Linked DNA regions of Caenorhabditis elegans. The protein of the gene in region 2 interacts with the protein of the main gene of each other region in a pairwise test. Each region holds a gene or a part of one and is shown on either strand. Other genes may lie near its edges. The genes, in order: unc-104 and syd-2.

Evidence for each region.
Region 1: the proteins of syd-2 (region 2) and unc-104 interact in binary tests that used the Caenorhabditis elegans proteins (3 or more experiments, as listed by UniProt).

The regions. Positions count from the first base shown.
Region 1 is NC_003280.10:6,990,184-7,001,883, reverse strand, and holds the start of unc-104 (Kinesin-like protein unc-104), read right to left. Parts: upstream 6,898-11,700; 5' UTR 6,698-6,897; intron 5,951-6,697; coding exon 5,851-5,950; intron 5,327-5,850; coding exon 5,176-5,326; intron 5,129-5,175; coding exon 4,960-5,128; intron 4,910-4,959; coding exon 4,731-4,909; intron 4,438-4,730; coding exon of another isoform or gene 4,274-4,437; intron 4,099-4,273; coding exon of another isoform or gene 3,993-4,098; intron 258-3,992; exon of another isoform or gene 186-257; intron 164-185; coding exon 1-163. Other genes in the region: C15F1.1 (ShKT domain-containing protein), read right to left, coding at 10,302-10,421, 10,538-10,751, 10,961-11,008, 11,160-11,257, 11,303-11,385, 11,680-11,700. UniProt on the Caenorhabditis elegans protein: Motor protein involved in microtubule-associated anterograde transport. Regulates the transport of synaptic vesicle precursors in the axon of DA motor neurons. Regulates the polarized sorting of axonal proteins.
Region 2 is NC_003284.9:10,550,196-10,561,895, forward strand, and holds the start of syd-2 (Liprin-alpha), read right to left. Parts: upstream 5,045-11,700; 5' UTR 4,970-5,044; intron 4,746-4,969; 5' UTR 4,742-4,745; coding exon 4,628-4,741; intron 4,579-4,627; coding exon 4,249-4,578; intron 4,178-4,248; coding exon 4,082-4,177; intron 4,033-4,081; coding exon 3,901-4,032; intron 3,808-3,900; coding exon 3,674-3,807; intron 3,436-3,673; coding exon 3,342-3,435; intron 3,249-3,341; coding exon 3,132-3,248; intron 3,083-3,131; coding exon 2,909-3,082; intron 2,864-2,908; coding exon 2,726-2,863; intron 2,676-2,725; coding exon 2,449-2,675; intron 2,406-2,448; coding exon 2,240-2,405; intron 2,149-2,239; coding exon 1,844-2,148; intron 1,750-1,843; coding exon 1,596-1,749; intron 1,517-1,595; coding exon 1,394-1,516; intron 1,336-1,393; coding exon 1,175-1,335; intron 1,131-1,174; coding exon 812-1,130; intron 441-811; coding exon 119-440; intron 67-118; coding exon 1-66. Other genes in the region: F59F5.7 (DM13 domain-containing protein), read left to right, coding at 9,433-9,493, 10,124-10,236, 10,664-10,791, 10,894-11,039, 11,092-11,219, 11,398-11,532, 11,575-11,685. UniProt on the Caenorhabditis elegans protein: May play a role in regulating the structure of the neuronal region, called the active zone, from which synaptic vesicles send neurotransmitter signals across the synapse. This may be in association with the liprin-beta protein hlb-1.

The DNA.
Region 1 (11,700 bases), on a different chromosome or scaffold from region 2:
AGAATTGGCTCTTTCGGATCCTGCCAAATCAACCAAAGAAATTTTTGAATGCTTCTCAGTATCCAAATTAGAATCAGCACAATGTCTTTTTTGAGTGAGTACTATTGTGAATACCGCATGGGATCTTGATGATGTCGAATTCATATTTGTTGCAGCAACAGTTCTGAAAAAGAGCAAAACTTTACTGGAGGTATGGGGAATCGAACCCCAGACTTCTCGCATGCAAAGCGAGCGCTCTACCCCTGAGCTACACAGGTAACCCGCCACAAGCGAATAACAGGTCAAAAATAGGTGAAGGGCCGCTAACAGGCGAATAATAAGCGAGCGACAAGTTTACTGCCGCGCACAGGCGAAGAATAGGTGAGCGATGAGTGAAACTTCTGCCTTGCAAATTTTATGCGCAGATAGGCGAAAAATAGGCGAGCGATAACTGAACGGACCGGACACATGCGAATAATATGCAAATGATGAGTCAAATTTTTGACTTGTGAAACGTTAACACTGACATGGAGAAATTGATGAAAAAAATTTTTTTCGGAAAAATTTCAAATTTGATTTTTTGTAGTGGGCCAGTTTTCAATAACGGCAAATGCCTACGTTTCTCAAAAAATAGTTCGTTTTGGTCTATATTTTGTTGGGAATGGTTATGTCTATGACATCAAGACAAAATTCAGATATATTCTAGATATAAGAGATGTTTTTGGGTCAGTAGGTTGTAAATACCTTCCTCTCTCGTTATTGTTTTACGACATCATATCGTCTCATATGTTTCTTCTAATGTTTACATTTACAGCCTAATGACCCAAAAACAGGATTTCTGGGAATATGTATTTGATTCTTTGTTGTAGATAGTTTATGCAATACTCACATGGCAATATTGTGAGTAGCACTATGTACAGACGCATTCCCTAGATAAATTTTGAGAGAAGATGTTATATAACCGTCTTACTTTCAGAGACTTATAACTTGGTTGGCGTTTGAATTAATAAAATGTGGTCAACTAAAGAGTTGTTGACAATAATACAAAGAACATTTTGTCAGTTGGTATCTTTTTGTTATCTTTAGTGACTGTGGAGATGTGAGCCCCAAAAGATGACCAAAATATTCTAGATCTGTGCTCAACTATATCTCGGTTCTCGATAGAGATGAAGAGATGATTACAACTATTAAAATGTTTATTGCTTTAAGCTAAAAAAAGGTTGTAGTTGATGACTTTTTGATATATCGTCTCTTGAAATTGATACAACCGTTTTAAGACAGGAGGTTTTATTGTTCAGAGCTCCAAGGAAAGTCTGTTTCAGTGATCGAGAGCACCGAATTTGTCAAGAAAATGCATAGAACCAACAAAATTAACATATTTCTACAATAACTGATAAATAGTTAATAATATTTGAAAAAAAAAAAATTATTTTGTCGAAAAGAAAATTCAAAGGGTCCCCCCTTATGAAAAATTTTAATTTTTTTTTCGAAATTTTTTTTGAAAACTGTTCAAAATTTGATTGCATCTTATAAAGAAATGCAAATTGTGGTTTTTTTAGTTTAGATGTTCAGAGTACGACTTCAGATGAGAATCTGAGGTATAGTAGAATTCCTATGTTCAAAAAACGTATTCACTTCGGAAGCCTATATCTCTGTGGAAAAAATTTTTATGACTAAGTGATTTACTACAAAGTTGTTCATTTCAATTTAGAGAACAATTTTATAATTGACCGTTTGTTGCCAGAAAATTTTTTGGCTGAGATATGAACGGAAAGAGAAGAAGAAAATACAAGCATGAAGGTGCCCAACTTTACACAACTTTATCTCGACCAACAATTTTTTTGACAAAAACCGGTCAACAACAAAGTTGTTCTCTAAATTAGGATAAACAACTTTGTAGTTAATCACTTGATCATGAAAATTTTTTCCGCGTAGATATAAGCATCCGAAGTGAATACGTTTTTTGAGCATAGTAGTTCTATTATACCTCAATTTTGGATCTCAAACTTGTTTTTGAACATTCAAATGGAAGAAACATCACATTTTGACAGTTCTAAAACATCTGGTCAGTTTTTAGAAAGTTTTCGACAAAATTTTTTTTCGATATTTTGAAAAAAAAAATCCGAAGGGTCCCATCTTACAAATTTTTTTTCGAAATTTATCCAAAAAAAAAATTTTCGGAAACTTTCTAAAAACTGACAAGTTGTTGTAGAATTGCTAAAATTTGATGTTTCTTCTATTTGAATGGTCTAAACGAGTTTGAGATCCAAAATTAAGGTATATGTACCCCTATGCTCAAAAAACGTATTCATTTCGGAAGCTTATATCTCCGTTGAAAAAGTTTTTATGACAAAGTGATTAACTACAAATTTGTTTATCTTGATCTAAAATACAATTTTGTAGTCAAATGTTCTCCCTCAAAAAAATTGGTGATTAAGATAAAGTTGTGTTGAGTGATGCGAGTTTATGCTGGTATTTTCTTCTTCTTTTTCTGTTTATATCTCGACCATCAATTTTTTTGAAGGAAAACAATCAACTACAAAATTGTACTTTAGATCAAGATAAACAACTTTGTAGTTGATCACTCAGTCATGAAAATTTTTTTTACAGAGATATAGGCTTCCGAAGTGAATACGTTTTTTGAGCATAGGAATTCTACTATACCTCAGATTCTCATCTGAAGTCGTACTCTGAACATCTAAACTGAAAAAAAAAACCACAAAATTTGCATTTCTTTATAAGATGCAATCAAATTTTGAACAGTTAAAAAAAAATTTCGAAAAAAAATTTAAAATTTTTCATAAGGGGGGACCCTTTGAATTTTCTTTTCGAAAAAATCAAAAAAAATTTTTTTTCAAATATTATCAAATATTTATCAGTTATTGTAAAAATATGTTAACTGTTGGTTCTATGCATTTTCTTGACAAATTCGGTGCTCTCGATCACTGAAACCGACTTTCCTTGGAGCTCTGAACAATAAAACCTCCTGTCTTAAAACGGTTGTATCATTTTCTAGAAACGAGATATCAAAAAGTCATCAACTACAACCTTTTTTAGCTTAAAACAATAAACATTTTGATAGTTGTAATCATCTCTTCATCTCTATCGAGAACCGAGATATAGCTGAGCACAGATCTAGAATATTTTGGTCATCTTTTGGGGCTCACATCTCCACAGTCACTAAAGATAACAAAAAGATACCAACTAACAAAATGTTCTTTGCATTATTGTCAACAACTCTTTAGTTGACCACATTTTATTAATTCAAACGCCAACCAAGTTATAAGTCTCTGAAAATAAGATTGTTAAATGCTCAATCAACTCTAATTTAGATGTTTGTTCGACTGAAAATGTAATATGAATGTTCAGACTTGTGGAAACTAACAAATTTCTATTTTTTCTATAAATATAAACACTTTTTGAAAAATTTTCTATAAAAAAATTTTAGGTGAAAAATTTTTTCAACCATAAGGGGGACCCTTATGATTCGAATTTCAAAATTGGAAATTCTACCGAAAAAACGTCTTTTTTTGAAAATATTTTCAAAAACTTCTTTGATATCGTGGGAATAACTAAAATGTATTGTTTCTGTATATTTTTATGAGCAAGTTGCACTTATTTTAGAGTATAGAACTAGCTTTTAGCATCGACTCTGCGATTTACAAGCGAAAGAGGCAACGATACTCCGATATTACGGGGTGCGCGTTGTTTACAGTTTCATTTTTATTGAACAATTTTTCCGTTTTCTCATCTTTTTCAACGTTTTAAAGCCATTTCGCTCGTATTTTATGCAATTTTCATAACAGAAAATGTCGATAATTTTTGATTTTCTCATATTTTCGATGAAATTCGTACTATTCGGCAATTATTTCGCAATTATCGTAGTTTTTGTTATGAGAATTGGATGTTCTTTCTTTTTCTCACTTTTTCTATTGTTTTTTGCAAGGAGAGACGGGATATTATAATTTCTGTTCTTTGAATTCTTATAAACTATGAAATAATGCAAAATTTAAAGATTGCCGAACAGCCACCGACCGTCGTGTCACGCAGCGCGGAGACGATGGATGAACGCGGGGATATTGAAAATTCGCTTCAGTTTCCAAGGATTTCTTGAAAGAGGTAATATTTTAGCTTATTTTAGCTTCAAATGTTTCTTTTATTTTTGCAAAATTGGTTTTTGCTATCATTCATGGCAAAACCGCAAATTGACTTAACTCTACCTTTAACTTTTCAGTTCATATTGTATTTTTCGCAAACAAAACACAATTTTATACAAAAATGTATTTAATTTCAGATTAGCCAATCGGAAACGCCACGGAAAAGCATCTACAGAGCAACCAAGTGCAGCAGAGACAGCGGAACGAGGGAAAATCCCGAAAAATTCTAATTTTTTTTTGCATTTTTGGAAATTTTTCTTAAATAAATATTATTTAAATAAACTACTGTTGTCATATTATAAGAAAAGAAAGTGAAAACTACAAGCGGGTGGAACGAATCCTGGAAGGATTCCATCTCACAGACATGTCAATAATAGGCGAACGATGGGCCGCTAACAAGCGAAATACAGGCGAGGGATAGGCCGCGTACACGCGTGTTTTTGGTTCTACATTCGCTTGCACGCGGCCTGCATGCAAGTCATCGCTCGCTTGTCGCGGGTTACCTGTGTATACCCCCGGTCATTAAACTTGGTTTAGTTTGCCATGATACTTCCGTTGATTTTCTCTAATGTTCTCCGTCTCTCACTCTCTCACCTCGCTTTATTTCCTTCGTCCATCAGATTGCAAATGTCGTGGTAAGAACAAACTGCCATTTTGGTAAGGTCATCGACGTAAGGTCCAAGTAAAGGATGTTCACGAACCCTTAGGTTACCTCCAGAGTTAGGATTCAGAAGATCTTTTACTCGTTCACAATAAATTTCCATATACGATACCTGTAATAATATTGTTAGTTTCCATGAATTAATGTATCAAAAATAATTACCTCTACAGAATATTGAACATCTTTATCATTGTTATTATCAATTCGTGCAAATAAATCATTGCACAAACGTGGAATTATACCCATTTCATCTGGATCATTGGCTTTTCCCATCATTGTATATGATTTTCCTGATCCTGTTTGACCGTATGCAAAAATGCAGACATTATACCTAGAAGTCAATTATTTAAACTATTAATCTATGTACATCAAACGAACCCTTCAAATGCGTGTTCCAACATTTCAACTCCGAGCTCTTCATATACTTGTTTTTGGGTGATAAAATGTGGGTCATTCCTCGCAAACGACCAATATGAATGATCAAAATTGAAACTGAAGTTCTCCTTGTTAATTGAATGACCATTTATTGCTGAAAATTGGAATATTTTAATTTGAAACAGTTCATACAGTATGCTACTACAGTATCATGTATTGTTATCAGGGAGCTTTGAATTGAGCATATTTTACAACCATTCTTTAAAATTAAAATTTAAAAATAAAACATTTAAAGACTGTGTATAAAAATATATCTTGGAGATCACTACTCTCCAACGCAAATATGAACACCTATCTATGCTTCAAAAACTCTGTGTTAGAAACACGGAACGAAACATGTGGTGGTATTGCTCAATGGTAGATCCCAATATTGAATCCCATACCTCCAGAATATCTTTTAATTCCTCTTATTCATTTCAAGACCCCGTCTGTTCTTTTTTATGCATTGCTTCTCTCTCATCTTTTCAATTATTCCCAAAGACTCTTGGACGTCACCAACGTTTTTCGCATCATTTTGGGACGGCAGCCTATCCTTTTTTCTCGGAAAATATTTCGTAGAAAGGGGTTAACTCAGTCTCAAATGTCACCCGCCATTTCTAAATCCCTTGGGGCACTTACTCGTCGTATTTCCATTTACTTGAAGGACACATTTTGAAGTGTTCGAGATTTCCCGTTGGTTGAATGGGCGAACACGTACAGCTACTTTAACCGATGACATCTGAAATTGTTTTAATTAATTCAAGAATTCGTTCGTAGAAATTGGAATTCACATGTTATTTTGAACTTGTTTATTGAGATTTATTTAAACAATTGAAGTAAGATCGATATATGCTAATAAGGAAAGAAGGAAAAAAGAAATTGACGAAATAAAACAGATTAATGGTTGATTCGATTAGAAAATGTTGGCTCAGGCAGGGAAAAGAAGCAAATGCCAAATGACGTGAATTGTGATCTATTTTCATTGAATTTCAATTTTAAGCATTAAGATTTGAACATTTTGAAATTTTGAAACAAATTGAAAAGGGGTTTTAAAAGTTTTTTAAAACTACAAGTTTACTGATGTCAAAAATTTTACCAACTCTTGAAGAAAAATCTTGAAAAGTTAAAGCTCATTGCGATCTTTCCAAAACCTTAGTAACATTTCAGAACATGAATTAATTTTTTTGAAACCATATTTTTAGGATTAAAATGCAGTCCTACAAACTTACAGAATCTTTTAAGTGTTCTATTGTGGTATTTTTGAATTTTAGCCCATTTTTGGGTACTTTGAGTTAAAAAGGGAATTTTTAACGTAAAATCTGAATTTTTCGAATACCGCCTTTCAAGTCAAGATAATAACTCCGTTCAGCCATGTCATTTTTCTATATCGTTTTTTTTCACACATCAACATCTATAACAAGACATTTGTTTCCCTTTCCTCTTGTTTTTCTATTTTTTCTTCTTCTATTTTGCAATTTTGGCTCACCTCTTGAGTCCTTCTTCTCAGCTCGAGTCAATCATCCAATGGCGTTGAGCCCCACTTATCGTCTCCTCGATGCTTTTCCTCTTCTTCTCCAGTTTTCTATTGAATGTGTATTCGAAAAAAAAAATGAAGAAGAGTGCTGAAAAAAAGGCAGCAATGAATCTTCGAATAGATGGTCGATTGGGAAAGAAAAAGTTCGGAATGGAAGAGAAAAGAGAAAAAGATAGAGATGGAGGAGGACGGAGCCTCGAGGCGAATTTAATTAGATGAGGAAAAAAAAGGGGTTGGGCTGAAATTAGAGAAGCCGAGAAGAAGCAACAGATGACGATGATAAACATGGAAAAAAGAGAAACAAGGAGAAAAAGAACATTCGAAAAAAGAAGAAGGCAGGATACAGAAAAATGATTGAATTTGGTTGGTTTTTGTGAGTCACAGTGTAGAAATTATAGAATCTGATTTTGGAAGCAAAACTGATTTTGGCACAATGTTCCCTAAGGTCAGCGAAAGGAGACATAAAGTTCCAATGGCTACTGTAATCAATGAGTATTTAATGAAAACTATTGATTTTCAAATTTAAAGGTTCAAAAACGAAAGGTTAAAACTATTGTCATATGTTAAAAAAAACCGATCTGTAAAGAATCAGATGGTAAAACATAACCTTTAAAAATGTAAACAATTTCAAAAGTTTAGCTAACACGGGAAAATCTCTTACAGATTTTCCTGGCCTATGGTGATTTTTCTATCCACGCTATTGTTTTTTCTCATTTTAATTTTATATGCTCACTAATTTGAAGTTGATATCACTTATAGAACAAGTTGCTCAAGACAAATTGTAAAATTTTATTTAAAATAAAAAATGAAAAAGGTTCTTACGGTAACATGCTCGCAACTTAAAATAAAAGTTAACACCAACAAAATGAATTTAATTAATATTATCTAGTTCAAAATATGCTTCAATCTTTCGGAGCCTATTTCAAAATGTATACTTGGTCCTTTAGTAAATGGTAATTCAAGATGCTTCAACAATTTTCAACCAAACATTTTTTCACGAAGATCCCCAGCAGTTTTTGAGAGCTCTTGGCTCTTTTAGGGATGAGCACATAATGAAAAAAAGGCGAGGGTTCCAGGCGAATAGTCTCTCGGAATGACGTTTTGAAGACGGGAACTGGAAGTTTTATCGTCACGCAATGTGTTTTTGTTGTTCAATTTGAAGCTGAAAAAGGGGCCGGAATGAACGGAGAAGGCGATTGGATGGGAATAAAAGAAGAATGTTGTGCTAAATGAAGAAATGACGTGAAATGGAAAGAAATCAATTAAATAAAGAAATGTTAATTATTTAGAAGAAGAGATGAAACTAGTAGGAGAAAGGGTAAGGAAAACTTTTAGGATATATATTGAACCATAAAACGTCAATGGAAAATGAAAGCACGGAGGGATAGAATACGAAAATATTCAATTGAAAGAAAAAGGTAGAAATTCTCATCTAGTTCGCTTGTACTTAAACAGTTTTGTCAAATTTTAATCCAATTATCAGGTGATTGTTGCCAAAAACATCTAGTGGAAATTCTGATCACTTTTTAAGAAAAGTACAAAATCAAATTTATTTTTGTATTAGAAAATGTATTAGATATTTATAAATTCAATACAGCTTTGTTTTATCTACTTACATTATACAATTGTTTTTTCAATCTCAAAAATTCAGCCCTCAATCTATTTCCATCACATATCAATTTCCTCCCTTTTAATCTCGACAATGATTCGGTTCTGAAACTCGATATTCTACGTTTGCATATATATACGTCGTTGCATGTTTTGGTGTCATAATTCAAAAAAAGTCCAAGCCAAAATTTGGGAAGAAAAGGAAAACCGGAAGGGATTTTTGACCATCATCATCTGATGATCATGAGTTGTTGGTTTTTGAACAGACAAAAAAAAGAAACACGTCATTTGAATAAAGGCGTATCTGGAGAAAAAAGAATGAGAAAAAAAGTAGAAGAAAGAAGAGCAAGTCTATGTTGTGTGGGGCTATTTTCAGGCAGGGAGGAAGCACAACGTCTAATGGGTGAACGAGACGCAGAGATGAAACGGCAGAAGCTCTGTGGACGACGCGGGCTCCACAAATGGATCGATTGGAGGCACGACGTCTGGGGAACAAGTCTCCGGGGATGAAATAGTGGACGAGGTGAAGAGATTGAAGACGAGTTGAGAGAGAAAAGAAGAAAATGAGAATGGATTTGGTGGAGAATTCCCGAGTAGGTGCTGAATAGAAGGTGCTTAAGCGTAGAATACACAGAAATTGAGCATTTCTTGCAAGGCATAAAGTACTTTTCAGTGTTATTTTTGTAAATAGATTGAGATCAAAATAACAGCACTGCAGCTTTATGAAATCATATATCTAATTGTAAAAATTAATTATAGAAGTGTGTTTTCATATTCTTTGTGGTTTAGTTTTCTTCTAATCATGATTTTAAATGCCAATTTATTTAGAAGTCTAATTTTATAGGAATCACAGATTTCGCAAACGGGAAATTTTTCAGTCATCATACAGTATTTTCAGGCGAACGGCAAATCGTCAAGTTTTCGGCAAACATTGCATTATTTTTTGGAAATGTATCAGATTAAATACCCTTACTAATTCACTATTACAAATGGGTCGTGAAAAAATTATTTTTAAATGTTCATGGAAATTATTGTTTCTCGAATTTTCGGCATTTTCCTGTAACGTTGGCATCCGTTTTTTGAATTTTTCTAAAGTTGTGAAAAACTCAAAATACGCGCTTGTGGTTTTCATGAAAATTTAAAACTTTGCTTATCTCGCGCAGACTTCTTTCAGAAAAATGGTTCTAATTTCCGTTGAAAAGCACTCTTTGCTCCCATTCTTTCGGTTATTGGATGCCTGGCACTCGAAAATGATGAATTTGGCAACGATTTGTCTTTCTGAAGACGTTAAGAGGAAACGATGGGAGATGAAGCTCTCACAGATAGAAAAATGTCAAAAGGGGAAATGAAGTGGTTGAACAGAATAGAAATGGACATAGAGAACTTGATGAGCAACTAAATTGCACCAACGGACATCTGGTTGCATATTTACAACTATGGGGAGACACGAGAATGCTCTATAATATGTCTAAAAATTATGATCGAATGCCGATCGAAAGTTTCTTTTTTCATGAACTTGCTAAAGTCGGTTATGATTAAAGATCACTAAGCGATAAGTTAAAATTTAAGTTTAAAAATCACAAATGTCATCAACTCCCATCGAAATTTCTTCTAAAACCTTATTCTCCGCTAGTCTACTCTTTCATCTTCACTCATCGTTAGAATCCTCATGAATTGCCAATAAAAGTGTCAATTCTTGCATCCATTTTCTCACTTCATTTGCTTTCTTTTTCTTTTTCATTTTGGCTCATTTCACAGCTCATTTATTTTCACTATTCTATTATACAGTGACTCTTGAGATGGTGCTATATACATATTTAGCAGCTTTTAGGAAAACTCATAAAAAGCAGCAAGAGTTTTTATTTTTAAGGGGAAAGGGGGAATCAATTGAGTGGGAAGTAGTTGACTAGAAGTGGAATAGAAAGAGATAAACACGTTTTTCTTCAGTTTATGGCTCAATTTTGTTGTAACGAATAAATGTGTGCTCCTGCATTCCATGTGTTAATGTCTCCATGTTCAGACGGGCTTGAAGTGTTGATCGATCCAGAAGAGTCCATTCTCGGACGAGCTGAATATTTTAAATTTTGAGTTTGATTGAATTATGTGAAATTAGAGCGTTTTTGAATTTTGTTGTTGGTTTTCATTGTTATGACTACACACAAAAACACTATTCTAAAAACTTACATCATGAACAGGCAAATCTCTGCTGAAACTAATTCTTCCGATATCCTTAAGCCGGAATCTAATTTGATTTCCATTGACTGGACCTTCTTCGACTGTCACAAAACCATTATTCATTACAGTTGTCAGTGCGACTTCTTTTGTGTTTGGTTTCACAGAAATATATCCATATTCACTGTGCAACTCATCTTTATCATTTATCGACCAGGCAAATGCTCTGAAAATTCGGAGCATTTTGAAGATAGTATTGAGATTTCTATTGTCACCAATTCCCTTTTACAAGTACACTTTTCCGAAAAAAATAGAAGAGCCACCAGAATTGACAGAATCAAAAATAAAATCCCAAGACAAAACACTCAACAGTTCGAAACAAAAAAATAGGTTTTTTTGGAAAATAAATAAAAACAAAAAATGACATATGAAAACCTGTTTGGATTCTTCTCATCTCTTTTTTCTACACTCCATGCGAACGCTCTAAATTTAAATATTTTCTGAATCTGAAACATCTAAACGGCAATATTTCCAATAAACCTTTCACGTGAACGTTAACATGCCTACCTGCCTCGTACAACCACCAAATAATAGGCGGCATGCAGGCATGGCATAATTTCAGTTATTTTCTTACGTGTAGTTAAGAGCTTGAGCCGATTGCATTGCATCGCCTGGAATTGAAATTTCGATTTCTTCTCCAAATGTGAATTTCGGAATTGTTGGGAAGATTGCCTAGATTTATTAAATTTAAGAATCTGGACAGTTTCAAAAACGAACTTTTCCTCCATGTTCAGATCTCCATTTCCCTACTAGGAAACCAATTGGTGTGAGTTCCTGAGAAAGACGACGTAAATCGTATTCTGAAATAATAGTATGTTTTTAGAAGTTTTAGAACCACAAGAAATTGCAAATTTAAAAATATAATAGTTTAAATGTTTATTACTATTTTGAAGTCTAATATTATGTTAAATACTACCCTTTCAAATATTTTTCCAGATTGTTTGCTCAATTTTATTGAATTTCTAATGTGAAAATTCTTCCGTCATTTCTTGAAAATTTTTTATGTAGAATTCCACTTTTTTAAAACTATCATTAGTGTTTTAATAAAGTGTAATAGCTGAAGTTTTTAATTTTTAAATAAAGAAACAACCTACTGGGATCAACCTCTCCACATT
Region 2 (11,700 bases):
AAAATACACCTAGCCCGATTTCTTCCACCCATCGCTGAACTCGTTCATTCGACCACACTAGCAAGTCTGCAAGGTATTACCCATAAAGGCATTGTTGTAAAGATAATATAATTATTACCTGTGTTGATATTATCACACGCCTTTCGCCGATCCGCCAACACTTTCTTATCATAGTTGACTTTCTTGAGACACATAATTCCGTATTGGAGACTTGTACGATGGAATGTGTCTACCATGCGCAGATGCGTGCGTAGGTCACGTTTTGAAAGATGTTCTAACATTCGAGCGTCAAGAAGACATTCCATAAACGCTGATCGGTATTGCGCAAGACCGAGACAAGGAAGCCAGTCGTTTCCAATATATTCATGATTCATATCTCCGAAGGCAAGAGTCAGACGAGCAGTTCGTGGGGCAGATGGTGACGTTAAAGAAACCATTTCCTGAAAAAAAGCATATACATATAATCTTGTATTGTATATAATTGTTTGCTCAATTTGAAAGTTTAACTGTCATTATTCAAAATTTCAGAAAAACATTAAGGATATTATTTTTTATGTAATGAAAAAATCAAAGGAATCTGTGAACACATTGACTGATCATTACAATTAATTTATATTGCAAATTTTTAACAAAAAATACCTGGCTACAGAGTTGCTGTATTTTTGCTGAATCTTGCCATGAGAACTTTCAAGTTGAAAGAACCTGGTTCGAACCAAGATAAATTTATTTTGGTGTTTTTTTTTCATTTTTTGCAACATACAAACAAAATGCCGTCTTACTGCCGGTTAGTAAATTTTTAAAGCCTCAGTACCTGAATTGCAAGTCGCAATTTCAACCTGTGCAATGGGTTTGAGATTCCAATCTCCTTCTGGATTTCTTGATCACTCAAAGCTGACATTATTGCACCGGATTTCACATTTGCTCTACACGCAGCTACATACCACGCTGGCATGCCAACCCACAGCTCCAGCCAGGCAACAACAGTTGGACCATTCCAAAGAGCAAACGGTGTTCGTGCTTTCATGGCTTCCTCTAATAGTTCATGCTTCTTCTTTTTCCTCCTGTCGTAATCAGCTTTTTGGTTTCCTTCTGTGCCCGACTGCTCGCCATCCGAATAATCTCCATTTCGTCTAAAAAATGATTGTATGTTTTCATAACTCAATAAAATAATCACTTGAATAAATCACTCGATGAATTTTTCTTTTTGTTGAAAAACCTTCCAAGCGTTTTCAATCCACTTGAGCTATTCGATCTTTTCTTCTTTCCGCCAAGAACGCCATCTGTCGAGGAAGCGACTGACGAAGCTGGACTCATTCGATCTCTTTCGTATTGCATCTGCAAAAGAAACGAACCGGTCATTAATCATCTTCTTCCTTCTTGAGATGACTCTTACCTCGTCAAATTGGTTGTACCCTCGTCGTGGCTCGTAGTCCAAATCTCTAACCATGCGGTCGTCAACAAACTGCGGATTGCCGTAAATATCATACCGTCGGTCACCGGATACATTTGCAGGAAGCTATAATTTAGAAAAATTCTTGAAGAACATTTAATACATATAAAAAATGTATTAAAAAAACAAACAAATGAAGACTTACAGTGTTATACTTATGTTGTCGCATATTATCTAATTGGGGACTTGCTCTTGGTGAACTTCTCGTAGATATTCCCTGATCATCATAGAATTCCCGACTTGATCGTTCTAACTGTTCAGCCACCCGTTCTGCGTGATGTTTCTCTTGTTGAATCAATCTTAAAATATACTTGTTAAAAACAATTAATAAAAAATTAATAAAGTTAAGAAAATACATTATAGAATCAGATTTTAAAACGATAATTAGCCCACCTTATTTCAGTATTTATTGCATCTAAGCGATCTTGTAGCATTGATGCCAACATCTGAGCATCTTGACCACCACCCATTCCACCTTGCATTCCTCCCTGCATTCCACTTGGCATTCCCATTCCACTGTTCATCATATCATCTTGCTGGTGTTGGACAGCAGTGTTAGGACGTGGAAGAGTCGATTGACCGACGTCGGCCAGTGATGGTGATGAGGAAAATGCTTGCTGGACGTTGGCAAGAACATGCGCTTGTTGAAGTCGATCCCATTCTTGCTCGTTGAGGGTTTGAACTTTGTTCGGATCGTCCTGAAATTTTTTTCAATGGTTGGTTTCTTTTTGTTGTAGCCAATAGCAATTTTAACATGGTGAAACAAAATGTCACAAAACCAAATCTCACCTGGAGTGCTGAAATCCTTCCTTTATTTGGTCTTCTCATTCCTACAGTTTGATACTGTTGAGCTGGTTGTTGTTTGTACATTTGGTATGCAGATTGCTGAGCAATCGAAGCTTGTGGTTGTTGCTGCACAATGTTTTGAGCATGTGTAAACGGAATTGCATGCATTCTGAAAAAATTACGGTTTCACCATGCATTATATTATGTTGTACCTTGACTGGAATTGCGCAGTTCTTGCATTGTACAATTGTTGCCTAAGAGCTTCAATCTCTTGCCGTAGAGATTCATTATCCCGCTGAAGACGATCTTTGATTCGTTCCGCTTGATCATAAATTTTCTTTGTTCCATCAAGCTGTTGTGTTAACCGATTTTTGTCATCGAGGGCTTGCATTCGTTCTTTGAGATGCAGTTGAAGGCGATCATTAGATTCCGATAAAAGCTGGAAAAATGTTTTGCTAACACTTTTGTGTATGATTTTAAAATGCTCACCTTGTCCACAGTGCTACTTAACCGTTGGCTGTGCTCTTCGTTCATGCGTTCTCTTTGCACAGCCCTTTCCAACTCTGCAGACAACTCTTGAATGTTTCGGTCCAACCTTTGGATGCGCTCTTCAGCAGAAACACTCTTCTGAAAAGGAAAACATTTTAAACAAACATAACAACAAAAACACACCTGTTCAGCTGCTGTAAGTGCTTCCATTCTTTGTTGTAATTCGGCTTCTACAGACGGAAGGGATTCAGCTTTTTTGAGACTTTGTGCAAGTTGCTTCTCTGCCAACTCCAATCTTTCTTGAAGTGAATGAACTTTTTCCTCATTCAACCTGACAGCCGCATCTTTATTGGCAAGCTGAAAAGAAAATGAGGTTTCTAATGCAATTGCGATGTCTTTTACTGACCTGATGCTCCAATTTGTCATTGAGGTCCCGGATACACGTTGACTCTCTTTGCGCGGTCAGGAAACGCGACTCAAACGTTGTTATCCGAGTTTCTTGATCGGTGCGTTGTGCATCAAGCTAAACATAGGAAAAATAAGTAAATACGCTTGAATTGAATGATTTTGAGGTAAAAGCAACAATATCGATACAAATTGATTATTTCACAAGTACCTCGCAAATTTGATTCTTCAAACGAACGATTGATTCCTGTGCAGCATGTTTTTCACGAGCATCTTCTGTCAATTGATCCTCGAGTTCGGCATTTCTAAAATTTAAAAATTTGGGGGAGTATTCATAGGCTTTTCAGCATGATTTTTTCCTATTTTTTTTACTGAATTGAGATAAGAAAACAATTTTTTAAATGTAATTTAATATATTTTTATAGTTAATTTTTACGCATTCTTCAAACATTTTTTTGAAAAAAAACCGAAAAATTTGACCACAAAAATTTATAGGTGTTTATATATTCACCATCAATTTTTGAAAAGTTATTACGATAGTACCTTGTTGTGATCTCAGTTGATTGTTTTAGTGAGTTGGCTAATTCTGTTTTCATTCTTTCTAAAGCCTCTTGCATTTCGATAAGTCTGTTTGCACTTTCACTGCTAATTGAACCATTGATGGGTGCATTTGACGCCTGAAAATTTTTGTTGATAAACACATTTTTGTGGGTATGTGATGTATTCTCGTTTTTCTGTTTTCTTTCTTATTTTTTTCAATGAATAATTACCATTGCTTCTTCCGCTTCTGCTGCGTAAGTGGCAATACGCGCTTTCAGCGACGAATTCTCATCTCCTTTTGTGCTCAGCTCTTCTTCAAGTGTCGCCACACGCTCCATTGCTACTCGAAGACGTTCACGAACCTGAATATTAAAACATTAGAAAATCTACAGAGTAAATACAAAAAATTACTTTTTCATCCAATGCCTTGTGATGCTCGAATAAACTCTTAAGAGCTTTTAGAACTTCAACTTCAGAAGATACGCCAGCGTGGTTTTGAGCTTGTCTCTGAAAAAGGAAGTTTTAATATTACAGCACATCAAATAGAATGGGGAACAATAATAAATCAAAAGACATACCTTCATGACCGTCATTCGGAGTGATCTTTCATGACGGGAAACTAAACATTCTAGGTGCTCTAGAAGAAGTCGAGTATTGTTCCGTTCTGCTTTGAGCTCGACAATCTCTTCATCTTTTTCTAATAACTGCTCTTTTAATAGGCATAATTCCCGCGTCATTGTTTGAAGTTCCTGCGGTAAATTTTGCGTATGAACTTCGAACTGTCTCTTCATCATATCTCGTTCTTTTTCAACTTCTTTCGTTCGGAGCCCTGCATTTTCCAGTTGCACCTTATAATTTTCCAACTGTTCTTGTAATTTGTCCCGGTCTTCCAACATGTTCATCATCAGCTGAAAAAGTTAAAGAACATTCAGTTTTAAGGTTTTACAATATACAGACCTGCTCAATGTTGTCTCGGTCCGATGGTTCATCAATGGGACCGCCGTTGTCCACTCCATCTTCCGAGATTGTCGGCATTATATCACAATTTATGTTTCCATTGCTGTAGCTCATATTTCTGAAACAGATTAAAATTGATAACTAAATTTCAGATTTTCAATCAAAAACAAAACATTAATAAATGTTTAGTTATATTTTGAAATCGTCTAGATATGCAGAAAAATATTTAGAAAAGCGCGAGAAAAAACGCAAGAAACAGAAGAAATTGGATACATCGCCTAGAAATAGAAATATCTGAACGTTGACTATACAATTTTCAAATTTAAAATAAAATACACTTACCAGAAAAAAATGTAAAGAAGTGAATCAGCTTGCCCTTGTTGAGTAATTTGTCATACCTTGCAGAAAGTGAATAACCTACAATAATTTTTATAGCAATAATTTTGTGAAGCTGAAAGACAAAATAATTAAAACGGTTGACACTAAACTAAGAAAGAACTACGAAAGAACTAAAAAGTAAGTTAGTTCCGTTGAAAGTGTTTTTATTTCTCTTTCCTCTCTCTTTCTCTCTACTTTTTTCGTTTCTTCCTCTTGTGTGTGTGTTATAAGTAATATGACTGCAACAACCAACTCGCCAAGCAAAAGAGTTGAGAAGATGGAAAAAGAGAGGGAAAGAAAAAGAGACAATAGACACAGGCCGATAAAGAGAAAGAGCTCCGAATTACACACAACGGTCAGTAGTGCTCGCCCTTCGTATTCTTCCCCCTTCTTTCTCCTTTTCGTCCTCTTCGTTGTGGCCGGACGTGGGCCCGAATCGATGCTAGGGCATTAGAGAATGGGTGCAAACGAAAGATGAGACAGGCCAGAGCCAGAGAACACAGGGTCACACATCTATCGGCCGTTTGGCTACGCGCGCGGGAGAAAACCCCCTTCCGTCCCCTCCCTGACTGCCTCCCGCTATTTCTTCGTCAATTGGTTCCTACATGAGAGTGCAAGATAGAATTGACAATTCGGAGAAGTACAGAAACAGAGAAAGGAGTAAAGGATAAAAGATAATAGAGAAATAGAGATGACAAGAGAATATTAGAGAGACAGATATGGCAAAATTCTGAACGTCCTGAAATAGTACGGTTGAACGTGAGAAAATGTTTCGAAACTGTATGAAACTTTCCAAATTGTATGGCTATAGAAAAAATTCCAGAACTTAGATAACTTATATTATATCCTATTGCAATGAATATGATAACAAAGATTTAACTCAATTTTCTTACAATAACTTTTTAGACACCGATGAACCTGAATTAAACTTGAACGAAGCTGGGCAAGTCTCTCGTTTAATATTAGGGCATCCGGAGAATTTCTAAACATTTTAAATATAAGTCAAGTTACTCTCACTAAACTCATAGTGATATATTAACCATTTGTAAATTGAATACGTTTTCTACTTCCAAGTATATGCAGCAATTATTTAGAACGAGTGCTCAAAATATATTCAATTGGGTTTTACAGGGAAGTTTATTTCAAATTTCAAAGATCGACTGACAATGAAGACTGACAAACAAGAACACTTCTTCGATTCCAACTTTTAGACTTTTAATGTTTTTTCCTAAAACTCCGTTTTTTTTTTTGGTTTTCTGTGATAGTAGCATAAAAAAGGGGAACAAAACACTGAAGCAGAAAAAAGTTTAACAACACGATTGTTGTATAAACTCGTCATTTCTGAGTCATTTTCTGAACGTAAAATAGTATAATAGTAAAGTAGTAAAACGTTATACAGATTGATAGAAATCGAAAAAAAAAGACGAGGGATCTAACAAGGCAAGAGTAAGAACAAGCGTTCAATTTGTGGAAGTGGCAATGAAAATAACAAGTGCCTTCACGTCCCCTATCCCTACGATTTTCCTATTTTGTTCCGTTTGGCGTCCCCCTCAAAACCCCAACATTCCTGAGATTTGCATAAAGTTTTCAAAGTCACCGAACATCAATGCTTTCATGGACGAACGAGTGCGAGCAAGGTCGGAACTAGTGAGAAAACCCGGAGAAAAAGAGTATGAATATTCGGAGAGAAAGTAAAAGAGGGGGACCACCTGCCTTCAACAGATGGATGAATATCCTGAGGTAGTAGTAGTTGACTGGCGACAGCCACTATGGCACGCAGCTGCATAAATTTAGAGCTTCCGATCGCAAATAATTTCACATATCTTGTTAGCAAAGTAGTTTGCTGTGAAACATGTTGCACCTTGAAAAGTAATAATCAATTGCCAATAGAATTATGTGTTAGACAAATTTTTTAAAAATTTATTTAGTAGATTCCTCGCTAATATTTTGTGAGAAATTACATAAATATGTCTTCGAGTTTGCTGTTACGATGTTTATGCAGGTGCAAAGTTCGAAGTGAAGCAGTACGATGTTTTGGGAAGTATTTTTGTGCAATGCCACTCGTTTGAATTGTTTTTAAGAAACCATTTCAATGATGCTATGCAAATCTAGCAATTAATTTTGATTTCTTAAAATAAAAATTTAAATAGGGAAGTTGCTTCTTTTTTAAACCAGTTTTTTTTAAACAATTAAGACATTTGTCGAAATTCAATGCCACTCAAAAGTTTGCAAGCATATTGGGTGAAATTCTATCATTAAAAATAAGATTCAATTTGCTGATTAAAAAAACCAGAAACTTTATTAAAATTTGGTGACGAGTTTGCTAAGTATTTTCTCTCTGCTAGCAAAGCCGAAGAAGATGTGCGCATGCATTCGTCTGTTGAATCGGTTAGCCCATACACACATACACATCGTCGTAATTACTGAAGATGACGTTGCAAAAGAAAGAAACAGAAAGAGAACCGAGCGATACGCCACTTGTTCATAGTTCTTGCAATGAGAGTGTTTATAGCTGGGTCTGTGCGTGTGAGTGTTCATAGATAACAGGAACATGTAGGTAACCGAGGTTTTCGTTTTTTTTTCGATAAATAAAGGTTTAACTATTCCGAACAACAGTTGTCTAACTATGGCTTGCGTGGAATGAAACTTATCATGTTTAGTGTCATTTGTGAGGAACTTGGCGAAATTGAAATCAGGAGTTCAGATAGTATGTACAATATCTGAAAAGTATTGAATTTTAACTGGATCGTGAAAAATACTCTATAATTCAAAGTCAGTCAAGCAAAATAGCGTCTTGTATTGAGTTTATTCAATCACATCCAAATGTTTTATATCTGTTAACAACTATATAATGTTGAACGTAAAAAAATGACTACAAAATTGTGTGTGTGTTTTTTCACAGTCTACATTTCATATTAAAGGGGGAGTAGAGCCAGTCAAACTCACTTATGGTGACACAATGACTAAAAATTTAGTTTAAAAATTATTTAAAAATTCTAAGTTTGTTATGATTTGTTGAGTAATTGGGAAAATTTCGGCTTAGCCACTTTTTTAAATGTCTTCCATCAAAAAATCTCTTTGAATTATGATCTCTATTTATGCTGCAAACACTGATATTCAAACATTGTAGGGTTGCCCATTTTTGTAGGTCAATAAAAGTTTTTTAAAAAATTGTAAAAAAATTTTTTGAATGATATTTGGTAATTTGCATCACATAAGTTGTTTTAAGCAATTTTTCCCACTGACACTACTTCATCTTCAAAATTCATACACAGTTACGAAAATGCCAATCAGCATGCCCAGAGGCGATAATTGACTGTGAGGGGATATCTTGATACAGTTCAGGTTCTTTCACATGCCCACATGATATAAACATATATAGGTTTGCACTATTGAATTTGAAGATTTATCATATCCAACATATCTTATTGCAGTCTTTAATAGTCTAGAATTCATATTCATTTTGCACTGTTGGATTTCAATCAAAATTTAGTCATTTAGTCCGTATTAGTCTTGTGCCTTCTAATATGTATTCTTGCACTAGTTAAATACCGGACCAGCTACACGTTGTTGAAAATGAGGTAAAATCGTATTTTTGGTGTGAAGTAAATTTGAACGTGGGTTGCGTTTAGTCTATAGAAACGTATATATTTCCTGAATTCTAAACAACAGAAATCAATAATATTTACAAAGCCAAGAGTCATTTGAAGTAAGTCTTTCCGCTGCCATTAGTCTTATTATGTTATATATATATATAACGAAAACATGACATTAGGTGTAATCACCGGCAAGAAAGACTGACTAAAGACTGATACGAGAAATACGGTATTAATAATTTTGCTTTGGTTGTAAAAACAAATCGGGCCCCGTACTTTTTGTTCGTTACAGTTTCCCGTTGTTTTTTTCAAGTTGTTACAGTGGCTTTGAAAAAGTTTAGAGATAAACTGAAATAAACAATCCACAGTTTATAAATGTTTCATTTTATTTGTGATGCCTTGAAGCCGTAGTCATCATCATGAATAAATATCCGGTTTTACTCCAATTGAGTGACCACAAAAAATGACAGCCGCATGATGGCTAGCTCGACACAGTCGATCGACGCTTAAAGTTCTCTCAAAAAGTGGTGACGATGGTAGTGTCCGGCGTGTTCCGCGCCGTTTACTGCATTATTCAGAAGTGCGGCAACGACGCCGACGGTAAGCGGACAGTAGAACACAGAAGCGGTGGTGGAAAATATGAGTTTTGTGGAGACACATAGACACCTTGCGCACACCGTGTCCAGATCATCTGCCGCATCCGCCCATCTTTGCGCGCGTCCCGCTCGTTTTAGTGCATTTCAATCCGAAAATTCTGGTCTTTGCTACTGGTTGCAACTTTGCTGTATTCATCAAATAGTTATTGAACTTTTTTAGTTGTCTTCAACTGCGATGAATCTATTTTATTTTTCCAAAGCAAATGACTTTTTATTTATGATTTTATTTCTACTGAGTAAGTGTTTTTTTTATTTAAATACTTTCAAAGAACAATATAAAAATATGTATACAAAACACCAGTTTAGAAGATAAAAATCACTGATTTCCTTTTATTGATTCAAAAAGCGCAATATGATTTCAAAGTGCACATCTCATCTATTCTTAAATCATCTAAAAGATGGTGTAGCGCTTTTACTCAGTTTTTGCCTGTTCGAATTTTGGAGGTTGACCAAAAACAATTTTGAGCCAATTATCCGTTCTAACTATGCGTGCATTTTGTATAAGAACATTGAACGCGTTCAACAACGCGGCAAGGTTTTGAAGCTTTTTTTAGAGAAGCTCTCTTTTTTTTTTCAAACATTGACAATTTTTCAACGTTTGGTCCGAAATTTGTCAAGTACGCATCCCAGTAAGTTGAAGATTTCATTATTATAAAAAGTGAGATATGTGTAAACAAAACGGAAACGGATCAAGGACAACAAATAGATCCACCGTTCCATACTTTTCTATCGGATTTTCATTTCCATATACAATTAGAGCGCAACATCTAACAAAAGGTGGATTTCTATTTGAACATAACCGTTACGGGGTCAAACTTATCTGGGAAACTAGCAAAAACATGAATTTGATGAAGGGAAAGTTACAGTTTACACAGTGGAAATTCGAGGCGACGAACAATCTCGACCAGTAGCAATTGTTCCATGGTCGCAGTATAAGAGGAGGCTCGGCCATTTGAAAGAAGGATCGCTCGCTTACCAAGTAAGAAAGACGGAAATCAGAAATTACTGTTCGAAAATGATTATTCAAAAGTGAATTATGTTTTAACAAAATTAACATAAGAATATAATTATTTGTATGCAAACGCTGAGTTGCTTTTGTAACTGAATATATATTTTCCTTTCAAAACACGAAATTTATCGTAGTTTTTTTTAAATAATGAGCTTGTCTTATTTTCACAGAAATACTCCGGTGGCATTTCGTTGTGGATTTGTTTTTGGAAAGCGGAAATTTAAACAATATTAAAAAGAATTTTTGATGTTCAAAAATTATACATTAAAATTTTCTTGAAAACATTGTAAGAGTTCCAGAAAAAAAAACAAATAAATATAATGCAAACACAATCAATCACACTAATTTACAGTTTCCATTTTATTGTCACAATGGATCTCAATTTTTCATTTTTTAGACGGAAACTGAACCACTTAAAACCGCGGCCACATCATCATCAAGTGCATCTAACTCATATTTCGGCAGTTACGAAAAAGAAGATCTGTCATTGAAGCAGCTGCCGAGATTTGATGAAAATGAGCCGAGGTAACTACGGAAGTACATAAAAGAAGAGCGATTTACTCTTGTCATAAACAATTTGTCACTATGAATATATGTTCTAACCGAAACTTTAGTTTGTTTTTCCAGAAGCAGATCTCATTCTGCCGGCACCAAACCGCGTTCGCAATATGGGAACGTTATTCGACCACAATTACGAGGCAAATTGCCAGCTGATCCATCCGACTTCATGAAAATTCCAAAAACCAATCAAGTGGAGTATTTGATGCAAAGAGGTTCTACATTTGTTTTTTCTTATCTCGAACCGTTCTTTAACCAACTTTTCAGAACTAGATATGCAAACGCTTGTCCCGCCTGAGCGACCACAGTCATCATCAAAGATGAGTAGTTTACCTTCGAGACACACATTGGGAGTGGAGGAGTCTCAAACATTCAACATGAAACACAAAATTGCAGTAAGTTTAACATTAACACGTTTTATTATTTCAAAGTATGTGAGAAACAAATACTCAGAACAGTTAAGAATGACACATACATAGAGAGATGAAATAAGATTTCAAAAAACATGATGCGTAATAGTCGAAGTGAGAACATAATTTTATAAAAATATACGTATTATATTTAATTTTTCAGTCGGTCGCCATCCCTAACGGAGTACCGATGACTGCTGGAAATTGGGAAACTGGACAGCCGCATTATTCGGGAGATCGTAGACTTCACGCTGCAAGCACATTTGTGGGATCACCTTCAATTCCATATGCAACCAATGTGAGAAAGTTGAGAAAAATCAAAAATTCGAATCTGTTTCAGTACAATGGTGAACTGGCATCCGCATTGCTCCAACAGAAAAACGTCGAGCCCAATATTGTTAGCTCAATTTTTTCTCAAAGCAGCCCAAATGCTATTCCAACAGTGGTTCAGGCATGTCTCATTTTT